4 linked regions of the Daphnia pulex genome follow. The protein of the gene in region 1 interacts with the protein of each later gene in a biochemical or structural test. Links are inferred from orthologs where the notes say so. Each region holds a gene or a part of one and is shown in the gene's direction. Other genes may lie near its edges.

Region 1 (3,256 bases):
ACTGATCGCTATGTGCAAAGCCATCGTATCAAAAAATCGAACTTTGGTGCCATCGATGAAATACTGCTCTTTTATTCGCGAACGGTCATAACTTACATTATGTCCTATAACGATACGCTCTTTTTGATCTTTGAGAGGGAGACGGTCTTGTTCCGTTTTTGATTCCAAGTTGATCAAGTCCTTTAATTCATAAATACTTTCCATATCCTTCAAAATTGAACTTTGCACCTGTCAAGTAGGATAATAAAGCATTGATATAGGGTGAAAAAAGTATTAAGAAAAATAAAAATAAACCTTATTTTCAGTAAACAGCTGATTACTACACCATGAGTACCAGTAGTTTTTTGAAACTGCAGTTGCAAGGGTTGGCAAATGGCCCTCTTTCACACAGACTTCCACATCAAAGACATATGCATCCTCTTCTGGAAAATGAACTAGATCCATCTCTCCATTTTGGTTGTATCTTGTCCATCCAGGTGCAAAGTTCCAGACTTGAGGGATGTCTGGAATGCAATGTGATGTCAAATCTAACAATTTATTACGGTAACTTCCACATTGTTTTTCAGCAATTTTTTCAAAGTGTTCTGCTATGTTTTTTCCTAATAAAGTTGGGAGCTTCAAATCAATATCTGGGAGTTTACTTGGTGATTTGCCATAAAGATGGTGAATTGATAAATGCTGCTGAATTTTTAACAGCGTTTCTTTAGATACAGAATTGTTGTTTTCTTTTTCGAATATCTGTCGATGGATAGATCTTGATAACATTTGTATACCACACGGATTAATAGTAACACATTTGTTTGAAATAGATACTTCTTCTTTGCATTGGCTTTTTGTTGAAAAATGTATTCTATAATTATGAAGAATATTTAAACTAGATAATGAATATTTCCAAGGTATTTTCCTACGGTTATGTTTAATTTGCCACACTCGAAACGAAAGCATGTTTGGAAACAAGTTTGAATTTGTTTATCGGGCATCGGCAACTCCACGGTAAGAAATAGTAAAACGTGGGAAAAAGAGTAGATAGGGATTTAGTGGTGAGGCAATGGACAATGGACTAATGGAGTAGGAGAAGTCAGAAGTACTGAAGTAGCAGTCGTAGCAGACTAGGCAATCGCAGTCGTCCAATCCATCCCTGAGGCTGAAATCCTACGTTTTACTTTGTTCCTACCACCGCCGCGACCCGCATTTTACCTCTTCATTCTCCCAGCAGCTCCCAGTATGCCAAAGGCAAAACAAGACCCGTAGGTCGTAGTCTCGTAGACGACATCAACAGTCGATGAGATTTAGTTTCCGGCTGTACGTTTGGATTTGATATATTCAGCACTGGTATACCTCGTTCGAATTTCCCCATTTGGACTTTAGAGTGTCTTTTGCAAAAAGAGGTTTCAAGTAAAATTGGTTGTGTGTTCCACATCCAAGATGAGTTCACAATCTAACATAGCCCTGAATAATTGGCTCATGGCTAATAATGTGGAAAATATTAGTTCAGTTGACGAAATTTATCGATATGATAGAAAGCAACAGCAAGACATGTTGGCTGCTAAACCATGGGATAAAGAGTAATATTATTTTTTATTTTGTATCAAGTCATGTTAACAACTTTACGTTTTATGTTCTAGCCCTCATTTCTTCAAAGAGATCCGTATATCAGCCTTGGCATTGTTGAAAATGGTTACTCATGCTCGGTCTGGAGGACATCTAGAAGTGATGGGATTGCTTTTGGGCAAAGTAGATGCAAACACAATGGTGGTAATGGATGCATTTGCCCTGCCAGTTGAAGGCACAGAAACCAGAGTAAATGCTCAGTCACAGGCTTATGAATACATGACTGCTTACATAGAATCAGCTAAACAGGCAAGTACATTTGCTCTTGATCACATTTTTAAGTAACTAATTGGAATATGAGTATTAGGTTAATCGTCTTGAAAATGCCATTGGATGGTACCATTCACACCCTGGATATGGATGCTGGCTATCAGGAATTGATGTTTCTACCCAGATGCTTAACCAAAATTTCCAGGAACCCTTTGTTGCTATTGTTGTAGATCCTGTTCGTACTATTTCAGCTGGCAAGGTGTGTCTTGGTGCCTTCCGTACATACCCTAAGGTGAACAGATATATTTTTCTATCAAGCGTACAGAGTAGTTTACTTTTTATTTTTCCTTAGGGTTACAAACCCCCAAATGAAGAGCCAAGTGAGTATCAAACCATCCCACTCAATAAGGTTGAAGATTTTGGTGTCCACTGCAAGCAGTACTATGCCCTTGAGGTTTCTTACTTTAAATCAGCTCTGGATCGCCGTCTATTAGACTCATTATGGAATAAGTACTGGGTCAGCACATTGAGTTCTTCATCTCTCACCACAGTAAGAACAAATATTCAAAGCGTTATATCATGTTATAAAAAGTATTAATATCTCTTTTTATTAGAATGCTGATTATACAACAGGTCAAGTATCGGACCTTTCGGAAAAACTTGAGCAAGCTGAAAACTCTCTAGGACGGGCGGCTCTAGTCGGAAGCGGCGTTGGTGTGAGTGGCTCCAGCATTGAGGATAGAAGATCGGAAGATAGGCTAGCTAAAGCAGCTCGTGATGCTACAAAAACTTCCATTGAAGCTCTTCATGGTTTGCTGGCTCAAGTAATTAAAGATCGTCTGTTCAACCAAGTGCGTTCAAGGCCTGCGTGAACCATCTCGTTTTTCTAAATATCCTCTGAGAATCCTTAATAATAAACTGGCTTATGCATACCATTTTGTTTGTGTTTTCTGTGAATGAGTTACCAAGTGTTAGAATATATTGTATTGAACATGTAAAATTCTTTGGCTATATCTCTAATAATGGGGTCAAGATTGAACAGCAATTGTGGGCAATATAAATAATTGTTATGTGAAGAATCTCCACGTTAGTTCATCGGAATGCTCAAAAATGTGCAAAACAATAAGAATCGAACATTAAAGTTGCCAAGTCGCAGTAGGATCCATTGCCATTGCGCGGCAAAATGTCATTTTTATGAGTTTAAATAATTATTTTAGGTTCACGTATTTGTAAGGTTATAAGACTAATAATATATCGGACATGCCAATCACAAATGAGATGAAGGGTCCTTTGAATGCCGTTTGCTGTCAGATGTAGGTAAAAATAAAAGTGGTACCATTCCAAGCACACATCCTATAGCAACACCAATAGCACGTCCGATATTAATGGCCCAAGTAGTTGATCGAAAAGCATATTGCCGAGGCTCGAGATCGGG
Region 2 (2,419 bases), on another chromosome or scaffold:
TTGTCATACTGACAAATAAACCCTTTCGGAGGAAAAGTACAAGCGTAAGAAAGACCATTTATAACAGACAATTCTGGCCGATGATGAAGAATAAGAAACGACATCCAACAATGAGCAGTCAAAATTGTGCGCAATTTTCCTTGAGTTTCCATTTCCTGTTAATCGGGACGATGAATCTGAAGTCGAGGTACAAATTCGACCAATAGCACCTGTATCACAAACATGGCAAGTATTATACCAAAAAATAAAGAAGTGAAAACGTTTTCCATTTCTTACATATTCCACCATGGCTGAACTGTCACATCTTTGTTTAGATAGCCTCCAATGTAATCCCAACTTACTGTACAAGTGGCTATTTTCCCAGTCAAGAAGTTTCTCAAGTGCATGCCTTGTCTAATGAAAGAAAAGAAATTGTTAGCACAAGTGGAATGTCAATGAAACCTTTACGCTCATTACCCTTTTACTGAGGCAAACTACAGGCCAAAGTGAACAACCCAAAGTACAGCAACAACATATACACCCACAAAACAACCACTTAACATTCACTGGAAGAGTTTTTTTCAAGACAGAATTTATTCTCTGAAGTGTTTCGCTGAACTCTTCAGGAGCGACCTTGCCTGTCAGGGCAGATGGGAATTCTGTGTCAAAACGATTACTAAGTCCAAACCTGTATGAAAATAGGCAATAACAGATAATTAAATTTCAGGTAGTTTTTACTTTTTACTCATCTCGGACGACTTCTAAAATATGTCAGAGACAGATTTCACTTACACAGTAACATTCCCAGCACCTCGAATAGCAACCGGATCTCGAACAGGTTCTCTATGATGTGTGAGCAAATCGACCCATTCTCCATTGTCTGAATGAATTCCATGATAAACGTCTTCATGAAGAGTCGAAATCGCGTTCAGGTCTTCTGCATTGGCCATTATTGATATACATTCGACTCAAATACATTCAAACAAATCAGACTCGTAAATACACTCCACAGCAGTCGTTCATCCTGTTCTACTAAACAAGTAAACAGCTGATTTCAACTTTCATTCTTTACACCATAACCATATCCATAAACTATTATTTTGGAGGATGGGAGACATAAAAAAACATTTTATACAAGATCAATTTTTATAAAACATAACACAAATAATCTTATATTTAGTACACATTCATTTAAGTGTAATTTCTATCTATTTTACGAGTTATTTTGATTTTTAATTTAATTTAATACGGGAAAACAAAGAACTTGCACGCCATCTAGCAGCGGTCACATAAATCAGCTATTTCTTGGAAGTTTTCCTAGCAGACTACTCTTGTAACTTGGTACTTGGGGTTATTCGTGATTTGATTGATTACCTAACATCAAATCGTTTAATTCTAACGGAAAATGCCACACTTAAAAATCACGACCAATGTTTCAAAAAGTTCAATCCCAAGTAATTTTTTGAAAGAGACTTCTGCATTGATTGCTAAAATGCTGGGTAAACCTGAAAGTGTAAGTATAACATCAAAACATTACAAATTTGTTTAAAGACAGAGCAAGAAATTTTATTTTTTGATTTTAGTACTGTGTTGTGACAATTGTTCCCGACCAGATGATGATTTGGGGAGGAGAAGAGGGGCCATGTGCCATTGCCCATCTAATGAGTATTGGAAAACTTGGAGTCAATGAAAATAAAAGCTATTCAAAAATACTTGGTGAACATGTTGAGAAGCATTTAGGTGTTGCTCCCAATCACATGTACATTGAATTCCAAGATGTTAAAACTGCTGATCTTGGATATGATAAAACAACCTTCCATGATATTCTTGGTTGATAGTTTATTCACAGCTGTCATTGATATCTAATATAAGAAATAAAAAATTTACCCAAAAAAATTATGCATTCATTTGTTCTAGGATGTTTGTTTTTCTTTCAAGGTTGTTCTCCAAGAAAATGCGGTAGGTAGGCTATTAATCAAAGTAACAAAGCAAGCTTTTTTTCATAATTTGTCTGATGTGATGAGAAAGAAGTAGTGATTTTCGTTAACGATAACGGATAACGTAAAAAGTCCGTTAACGGCCCTTTTTTGGTGTTCGTTAACTTAACTGATAACGCTAACGTTTGGCATTTTTCAGACGTTATTTTCGACGTTATTTTTGTTTTTAACAGCGCTTCCAAATATGTAATTTTTGGATTTTTCCCGATTTTTCCTATGAAATTTTGATTTTTTGCGCGCTTCCAGCATTTTATTGTAGTAGGTTGACTATGAAAACGAATTTAGCCAGTGACAGTGAGCAGTAGTCTTCTTAGCTTCTCTAAGGTTTTTTTTTGCTTTCAAAACTTGGCAAACGAAACTGTATAAGCAGAGTAGGAATCTATAATGTCAGATTCAGACTCTGATGCTCCTGTTGACGGTGAAGAAGAGGAGGATTTAGAATG
Region 3 (3,996 bases), on another chromosome or scaffold:
AATTTTGGGGCATTTCTTTTAAAATCAATTTGTAATAAAAAACAAGGTTTCCTGCTACCGGCCATCAGCTTCTTCGCTGTTGGCCAACTGACGTCCGAATGGCGCTATGTGGCCGTTTTCTTATTGGCTTTGACTCAGGCCGGTAGTGAAATCGCCATCATGGGCGGTTTTATGTTCTCCAACATCGACCTGGCCCCCCAATACTCTGGCGTCCTCCAGGTGATACATGTTACACAACAGTTTTGACAATTTCTATATTAAATTATGGATTGATCGTTCAAGGGCATCTCGAACACGATAGGAACCGTTCCCGGGTTCGTTTCTCCCATCGCCATCGCCTATCTCACGCCGACGGTACTCGATTCAATTTTTATTGACTTTATTTGTGATTGTAATCATTCTGTTTTTATCTTGACTTGACAAAGGGGACGGCGGGTGAATGGGCCAACGTTTTCTACATCAGCGGATCTCTTTATGTTTTGGGGGCGATGATTTATCTCATTTTCGGGACGAGCGAGCGACAAAAATGGTCCCACCACCCAACTACTCCGAAGATTATTACAACGGCCGCGGCCGAGATCGACGACGACGGGAAAGAAGACGCCCGCCAATTGTTTCAATCTCCCGTTCCGTCTAGCCGACCGGAGATTTCATGAGAATCGTTTTCTTAATTTTTTTTTTACTTTTTCAATATTGTTGAAATTCATCAGAGCATTTTATAATACGGCACGACGAAGAGTGAACAAAACTACGAATTTAATTTCCACGTTGTTTCTTATAAAATTGAACCACTAAAAGACAAAATTATTTAAAATACAATTTTTTAAATCATCCTAATGGCGAATTGTAATTGGGAAATCATAAAAACCAGATTGAGAATAATGAACAAACAAAGAGGACGCGACCTTCTTTATAAAAGGAGTGGTTTTTATATGCGAATGACTAATCGGCCACACCTTATATCATCCAACATCACCACACCAACTGATCTAAGTAGGAAATTCAAAGGGAAAACGAGTTTTGAACTTGGACTTGTTTTGAACGCCATAAAAAGGACAATTGTTGGACTCGAGATATTATTATAAGAAAGTGGAGGGGGGGTGACACGGTATTTTAGCCTGGAGGGTAATAATTTTGCTTTGAATTTTTCGTTTGGCGCCAGACAGTCGCCGGAGATCTGGCAACGTCCACCCGTCACATCATGGAGTCGTAGGTACAAGGCGTTTTTGTGTTGATCAAGTTTTAAGCAGAGCAGATTTAGAAAATTGGCACGTTACGAAAGTATTATGTGATTGTCGTGCAATACAACACTTGAATTTGTATCGTTCAGTCTGTCAACTCAGACTTTGATATTTTTGTTTCGTTTGTATTTCGAAAAAGTTTGACGTTAGCGAGGTGGCAGGATTATTTAATCCGCCCAGCAGGTATGTTTTCAAATATATCAACCCTGACGGTTAACTAATATAACGTTTGAAACAATCATGTCATTCAGATAAGGGAAGCCCAGGATGGCAAGCAGTTCACCCACCAGTGCTGATGCCTGTCTCAGTATCGTTCACAGTTTGATGTGCCATCGTCAAGGGGGGGAGAGTGAAGGTTTCTCCAAGCGTGCCATTGAGAGCCTTGTCAAAAAGCTGAAGGTAATAACTATTCTGTCGACACATTTTCTTAACTAATAACGGGACCTTGTTCTAGGAAAAGAGAGATGAACTTGACAGTTTGATTACTGCGATAACCACCAATGGAGCACACCCCAGCAAGTGTGTCACCATTCAACGGACACTAGATGGGAGGCTGCAGGTAATTTTTCACTTACACCTTTTGCATCAACACATCATTCCCTAAAACAATCAAACTTTTAGGTGGCTGGAAGGAAAGGATTCCCACATGTTATCTATGCCAGAATTTGGAGATGGCCTGATTTGCATAAAAACGAGCTAAAACATGTCAAATTTTGCCAGTTTGCTTTCGACCTCAAATGTGATTCAGTTTGTGTGAACCCATATCATTATGAACGGGTTGTTTCACCTGGAATTGGTAAGCTGTTTTCTAATATTTATAAAATGCACTTGCATTACGTCATTTTATTTGTATTGTAGATCTCTCGAGCCTGAGTTTGCAACCATCTGGAGGAGCTTCTTCATCTGGCGCAATGGTTAAGGACGAATATCTTTCGCGAAGCATGGATATAGATGGAAGTGGCGTTGGCCATTCTCAACCTCAAATGGGAATGGGAATGTCGACACCTGGTGTATCGGGAGTCGTTCCGCAAATACCTCCTCCGTTGCAGCAACAGCAGCCACCGCCTCAGACGATACAACATCATGGGCCTCCTCCTACTCCCACCTTTTCTTCCATGATGCCACATCCGTCGCAAAATCAAGGGCAATGTAAACAGCATTTCATTGTGCAACTGTCGATTGCGTAACAATGATGAATAACAAATCGGTTCGCCTTTTTTTAGTGCCGCCTAGTAGTCCCACCAGCCCTCCTCATAACATGCAGCAGCAGCAGCAAGTACAACAACAGCAAGTGCAGCAGCAGCAACAACAGCAGCAGCAGCAAGTGCAACAACAACAACAGCACAGCATTCCCACACCTACTCCGCAAGGGAATGCTTCATCAAACGATCATCACCAAGTCTTTTTCGGAAATGACATGCCTCCAAGTAAAAAACAAAAGCTTTTGGCTTTACAGGAAAAAACGTTTATGCGATGCTAACTTTCGTTTTGTTTTCTTTAGGTTCAGGGAATTTGATTCCCATGTCACCTCACAATCTCCAGCAAAACGGGTTCCAACCGCTGACTCCTCAAAACTCAGTTGGTCAGCAACAGAGTTATGTTCCACCACAAAGTGTGCCTCCTCCTCTGGTTGCTATGAGCAATCAACCCGTTGTGGGCTCTGGCCCCGTACCGTGCCCGCCTACCGGGGCTGGTGTCAGTGGACAGGGAACCTGGACAGGCAACAGCACTTTAACGTACACCCAAACGATGCAACCCCCCGATCCCAGGAATCACCACCCGAGCTACTGTATGCAATCAAAAACATGATTTCATCATCTTTGAAACGTCAAAATAATCCACCGCTAACAATCTTTTAACAGGGCCCCATCAGACACCTGCAGTGCAGCAACACGATTTGGGAGTCCAGGCCGCTCTGTCCTCGCAACCTGTGCCCGAATTTTGGTGTTCGGTTGCCTATTTCGAATTGGACACGCAGGTTAGCTGAGCGGATATTATTCGATATCCAAATCAGTTTTCAATTTCAGTTTTTTTCTTTTTATTCCGTCTAGGTGGGAGAAACGTTTAAGGTTCCGTCGTCTTGTCCGACGGTGACTGTTGATGGATACGTTGATCCCTCGGGCGGTGATCGCTTTTGCCTAGGAGCCCTGAGCAACGTCCACCGAACTGACCAGAGTGAGAGGGCCCGGTAATTTTGTTTTCAAATGTTTCAACTCCAATTTCATCTCATATTTCGTCGTCGCTTTTTTCTTTAGTTTGCATATTGGCAAAGGAGTACAATTGGATCTGCGAGGAGAAGGAGACGTTTGGCTGCGTTGCCTGTCGGATCACAGCGTGTTCGTTCAGAGCTACTATCTGGATCGAGAAGCCGGCCGAGCTCCCGGAGATGCCGTTCACAAAATCTATCCTTCGGCTTACATCAAAGTGTTTGACCTGAGGCAGTGTCACGGGCAAATGCAGCAGCAGGCGGCCACAGCCCAGGCTGCTGCCGCCGCCCAAGCTGCCGCCGTAGCTGGACACATGCCCGGATCGAACAATGTTCCCGGAATGCCCCCGCCAATTAGTTTAACGGCCGCGGCCGGCATCGGCGTAGACGATTTGAGGAGACTTTGTATTCTCCGGCTCTCGTTTGTCAAAGGATGGGGTCCCGACTATCCACGAAACTCAATTAAGGAAACCCCTTGCTGGATTGAGGTACCATTGATTTTTCATTTACCCTCGGTCGGAATTCTAATTGTTCGCCTTTCTGTCCGTC
Region 4 (4,176 bases), on another chromosome or scaffold:
CTACAAAAACCTACCTGTTTACGCTGGCTTCGTTTTTTAGCTGAGGTCATTCCCCAGCGAGTCAATCCCGCTGAAAGCACTGAGACGATGTAATGAACCGTCCCACATAAAACAGCAGGGCACAAAATAATCCATATTGGTAACAATCGACCTAAAAATATTTTAAATGATGCAATAGAGAATCCTAGTAAATATTTTGGAAAAATGTTTTACCTGTTTGGGGGGCAGACCAGCTTAAGAACCTATAAATCCCTTCTTGAAAAACATCAAAGATACCCGGCTTTTCACTTGCAATATCAGATTGAACAGTTTCTACAACACTTGCTGCATAAAATGGGATCACGACAGCTAGGGAAACGCTAGGGAACCAAAAAATAGATTTAAAAATTCTTTAGATATCTGCTAATAATTGTCGTATGACAATTTCAATGTGTTTTTGTGATACCTTTTCAAGAGGATGTGGTGTCCAATTGCTTTCAATGAGCTGTTACGATCAATTTCTCTAAAAAAAAAAGAAAAAAAAAACAAAAACAAGTGAATATTCTGTCAGTCTAAATATAAACACACACTGGCTATTTCAATGAACACAAGAGGACAGCTTACATGGCAACATTTGCCACTTTATATGCTAAATTACTTTGGCCATGGTGTTATCTTGCTCAGTACATCCTCAATGGCTAATGTGAGACCTCTCACAATTAAAGCACTGCCAATTCCTTTCCATAACACAGTCATGCTTTGTCTTTGGTGTAGCCTAATGACTACTGGGACCAAGCTGAAAGGTAGTGTATGGTATTTTCTAGAAAATACATTAACCTACAGATAAGCAGTATTAAAAAATTTACTATCAAATTAACGTAAAGAATTTTTCACCTGACACTGTCTTCGCAGAACTAAAAATGGATGGCATAGTAGATTTTCAGCTGCTAGTCTCATAATACCAAAACTGGGATTTGGGATTCTACTTGCATCAATCATATCATCTTACAAGAAAATAAAAATTATGTAAAGTCATTGCAAAAAAATGTGTGATGATAAAAGTCACTGTTAATACCATATCTATATTTCGGCGACGTAATAGCTTTGTTTTCATGTTGTATCCTACCATCAGTTACTGCAGAAGCAGCAGAATCAGCTTTTTTTATCCAAAAGGGAGAATTTTCTAAACTGTAATAGAACGAGTAGTCCTCAGTTCCAGCCATACTAACCTGTACACTTGATTTGATATTAATGTTTATGAATTCCAAGTAAAAAAAAAACAAACTATTTTCGTATTATGGTTAACTTTTTCTTTCGTGATACGCAGCAGACGAATAACTACTAATAATGAGCTGCCATCTGATGATAAACTAAACAACTTTTCCGTTTCTTCGCGAAGGCCAAAGGGGCCAGAGCAGACGAACCCACACTGCGCAATCGTTTTATTAATCTTCAGAATCCTTGTTCTGTGAAACCAATTGTATTCTTATTTAACCCCAGGGTCTTAAGATTCTCGAGTAAATTGATTATTCAAGGAATCTGAAACTTTGTCCTTCATTTACGATACGAAAAACAAGTAAATAACTTAAGGTCTTTTCATTGCTATTGCCAGTAGTCATTGCATGATCGTTTGTACGAAGATCAGTTTTGGTTTTCTCCCGTTGAACTTGGAAATAGGGACTCTGGCTTTTTTTGTAAAATTCCTATGATCCACTTTTTGGACTTTGATTCAGCTGTTCTAATAACTGCACAAAATGTCTCTTAAACCGAAGCGTGTAGACTTTACCACAACTTGGGCTGATTTAAAGGAAACAGTTAAAGGTGTTGTAACTCTGGGAAATGTTCCTCATACTATATGGTACAATCGATTCAGTGATGTGTATTCCCTCTGCGTGGCTTACCCAGAACCTTTAGCTGAGAAATTGTACCAAGAAACTAAAAAGTTTTTGGAGGAGCATGTTAAATCTCTTTTCATCCAAGTGAACGGCACCAGTGAAGAACAGCTTCTGACTGTGTATTACACACTTTGGCAGCAATATAGCCAAGGAATGGACTATTTGCACAAACTTTACTCGTAATTTATTCATTTCTTTTCTCTAATAAAACAAGTTAATACATGCTTTTAATTCAAATACAGATACCTTAATACCCAACACATCAAGAAACAAAAAGCATCTGATGCCGAGCTTCTTTATGGGACATTGTCTTATGAATCACCTGAACAAATGAAAGAAATCGGAGAATTGGGTAATCACTATTTGTAATTTTTTTGGTGTACTGAATCCTTATCGAAACTTGCTTGCTAGGTTTGGATTTGTGGAAGAAGTATATGATAGAGCCATTGAAAGCCGACTTGCTGAGATTACTTTTGGGAGGCATACATTGTGACCGAACTGGACAATCTTTGTATAATGAAAAGTCATCAACAATTCAGGGTGTGATTCAGTCGTTTGTTTCAGTCGAGGAATACAAGAAGAAGAACACCCTCGAACTTTATGAGGCTGTTTTTGAAGGGCCATTTCTTGAAGCGACCGGTGAATACTACAAGTAAGAAATAATTAAAATGTTAAAAATTTGCATATTACAGTTGTTTGGTCAAATTTAGGCAAGAAGCTAGTCGCTTGTTACAGGAATGCACAATTTCCTTGTATATGGAAAAAGTTTTGCAACGTCGGGACGAAGAAGATTTACGTAGTCGGAAATTCCTGCACCCAAGCTCTTACAGTAAAGTTCGAACTGAATGCGAAAAACGAATGGTAGCAGATCACTTGGCGGCTATCCACAACGAGTGCCCGACAATGGTTCAACAAGAACTCCAACAAGATCTTCGAAATGCGTACGCGTTGTTGAAGGTGAGAGCTTATCTTATTGCCTCGTAGTATAAATTTTAATTGTTTTCTAAAATTTGTTCAGTCGATTCCGGGAGGTTTGACTGTTCTGGTGTCGCACGTCATGGAACACATCAAACAACAAGGATTGCGAACAGTGACTAACCTGTCAGGAGACAACATTGCTGCCCAGTTTGTAGAGGGCATGCTTAGTGTCCACTCCAAGTACAAGGAGATCACCAACACTGTTTTCAGTAATGATCAGCTATTTAGCAGCGCTCTAGATATGGCCTGTGCTGCAGTCGTCAACCATCGCTTCAATACTAAACAAAATTGTAGGTCTCCAGAACTACTTGCCAAGTATTGTGATACTCTCTTGAAGAAGTCAACAAAAGGCGGTAGTGACACCGAAGTTGACGATAAGTTAACACAGTGCATTACTGTATTCAAGTACATCGACGACAAGGATGTTTATCAAGCTTTTTACTCACGGAAGTTGGCACATCGATTGATTTCACAACAGAGTCAAAGTATGGACGCTGAAGAGGCAATGATCAACCGATTGAAACAGGCATGCGGATATGAGTTTACCAACAAACTTCATCGAATGTTCACGGACATGTCCGTCTCATCAGACCTGAACAACAAGTTTAATCTGCTGAACAAAGATCGGATGATTGAATTAGGTCTCAACTTCTCCATCTATGTCTTGCAAACCGGTGCGTGGCCTAGACAAGTCTGCCCTACCGATTTCGCCGTACCCCAAGAGTTGGAAAAATCGGTCCAAGAATTTGAAGATTTCTATCGTCTACAGTTTAACGGCCGGAAGCTTGCATGGCTACATCACTTGAGTTACGGAGAGCTGAAACTGAACTACTTGAAAAAGCGTTACTTCATCACCATGGGAACCTTCCAAATGGCAATGCTTCTTGTCTTTCAAAAGACCAATTCCGTGACTTGTGGAGAACTCATGGAAGCCACGAAGCTTAACTCGGATCAATTCCAAAAGGTCCTTCAGAGCTTAGTCGACTCAAAGCTTTTGGCAGTAACTAGTGACACTGTCGAAGTTTTCCAACCATCTACAGTCATTTCCCTCAATATGGATTATAGTAACAAACGAACCAAGTTTCGTATTAACAACACTATCCAAAAGGAGACTGTCCAAGAAACCGAGACGACGCATTCTTCTGTAAACGAAGACAGGAAAATGTACCTTCAGGTAAGAATTATACGAATATTTTAGCGTAATGCGTTAGAAATCCGAAAACAAACTAAAGTTTTTTTTTTTTTTTCATTTGGCTTTCCAAGGCTACAATCGTTCGAATCATGAAATCTAGGAAGATTCTTCGCCACATGGTCTTAATTCAGG

The links.
Region 2: the proteins of COP9 signalosome complex subunit 5-like (region 1) and macrophage migration inhibitory factor-like form a complex in vitro, tested with the Homo sapiens proteins (2 studies listed by BioGRID). The link is inferred for Daphnia pulex from reciprocal best matches to the Homo sapiens genes COPS5 and MIF.
Region 3: the proteins of COP9 signalosome complex subunit 5-like (region 1) and mothers against decapentaplegic homolog 4-like form a complex in vitro, tested with the Homo sapiens proteins (2 studies listed by BioGRID). The link is inferred for Daphnia pulex from reciprocal best matches to the Homo sapiens genes COPS5 and SMAD4.
Region 4: of the proteins of COP9 signalosome complex subunit 5-like (region 1) and cullin-2-like, one has a biochemical effect on the other in vitro, tested with the Homo sapiens proteins (3 studies listed by BioGRID). The link is inferred for Daphnia pulex from reciprocal best matches to the Homo sapiens genes COPS5 and CUL2.

What each region holds. Positions count from the first base shown.
Region 1 is NC_060026.1:5,023,676-5,026,931, reverse strand, and holds COP9 signalosome complex subunit 5-like, read left to right. Parts: upstream 1-1,357; 5' UTR 1,358-1,425; coding exon 1,426-1,565; intron 1,566-1,625; coding exon 1,626-1,860; intron 1,861-1,918; coding exon 1,919-2,113; intron 2,114-2,173; coding exon 2,174-2,371; intron 2,372-2,435; coding exon 2,436-2,693; 3' UTR 2,694-2,753; downstream 2,754-3,256. Other genes in the region: transmembrane protein 65-like, read right to left, coding at 3,089-3,256. UniProt on the Homo sapiens protein: Probable protease subunit of the COP9 signalosome complex (CSN), a complex involved in various cellular and developmental processes.
Region 2 is NC_060025.1:8,984,189-8,986,607, reverse strand, and holds macrophage migration inhibitory factor-like, read left to right. Parts: upstream 1-1,303; 5' UTR 1,304-1,384; coding exon 1,385-1,492; intron 1,493-1,562; coding exon 1,563-1,814; 3' UTR 1,815-1,913; downstream 1,914-2,419. Other genes in the region: cysteine-rich hydrophobic domain-containing protein 2-like, read right to left, coding at 159-209, 277-393, 457-667, 772-929; uncharacterized protein LOC124202754, read left to right, coding at 2,361-2,419.
Region 3 is NC_060024.1:13,713,987-13,717,982, forward strand, and holds the start of mothers against decapentaplegic homolog 4-like, read left to right. Parts: upstream 1-1,190; 5' UTR 1,191-1,424; intron 1,425-1,492; 5' UTR 1,493-1,508; coding exon 1,509-1,640; intron 1,641-1,695; coding exon 1,696-1,800; intron 1,801-1,862; coding exon 1,863-2,037; intron 2,038-2,099; coding exon 2,100-2,390; intron 2,391-2,464; coding exon 2,465-2,668; intron 2,669-2,742; coding exon 2,743-3,030; intron 3,031-3,103; coding exon 3,104-3,219; intron 3,220-3,292; coding exon 3,293-3,429; intron 3,430-3,496; coding exon 3,497-3,935; intron 3,936-3,996. Other genes in the region: sialin-like, read left to right, coding at 47-219, 283-354, 426-656. UniProt on the Homo sapiens protein: In muscle physiology, plays a central role in the balance between atrophy and hypertrophy. When recruited by MSTN, promotes atrophy response via phosphorylated SMAD2/4.
Region 4 is NC_060021.1:10,405,350-10,409,525, reverse strand, and holds the start of cullin-2-like, read left to right. Parts: upstream 1-1,370; 5' UTR 1,371-1,733; coding exon 1,734-2,053; intron 2,054-2,116; coding exon 2,117-2,226; intron 2,227-2,285; coding exon 2,286-2,526; intron 2,527-2,584; coding exon 2,585-2,831; intron 2,832-2,892; coding exon 2,893-4,026; intron 4,027-4,115; coding exon 4,116-4,176. Other genes in the region: solute carrier family 25 member 46-like, read right to left, coding at 15-151, 214-359, 446-502, 638-816, 874-983, 1,055-1,202.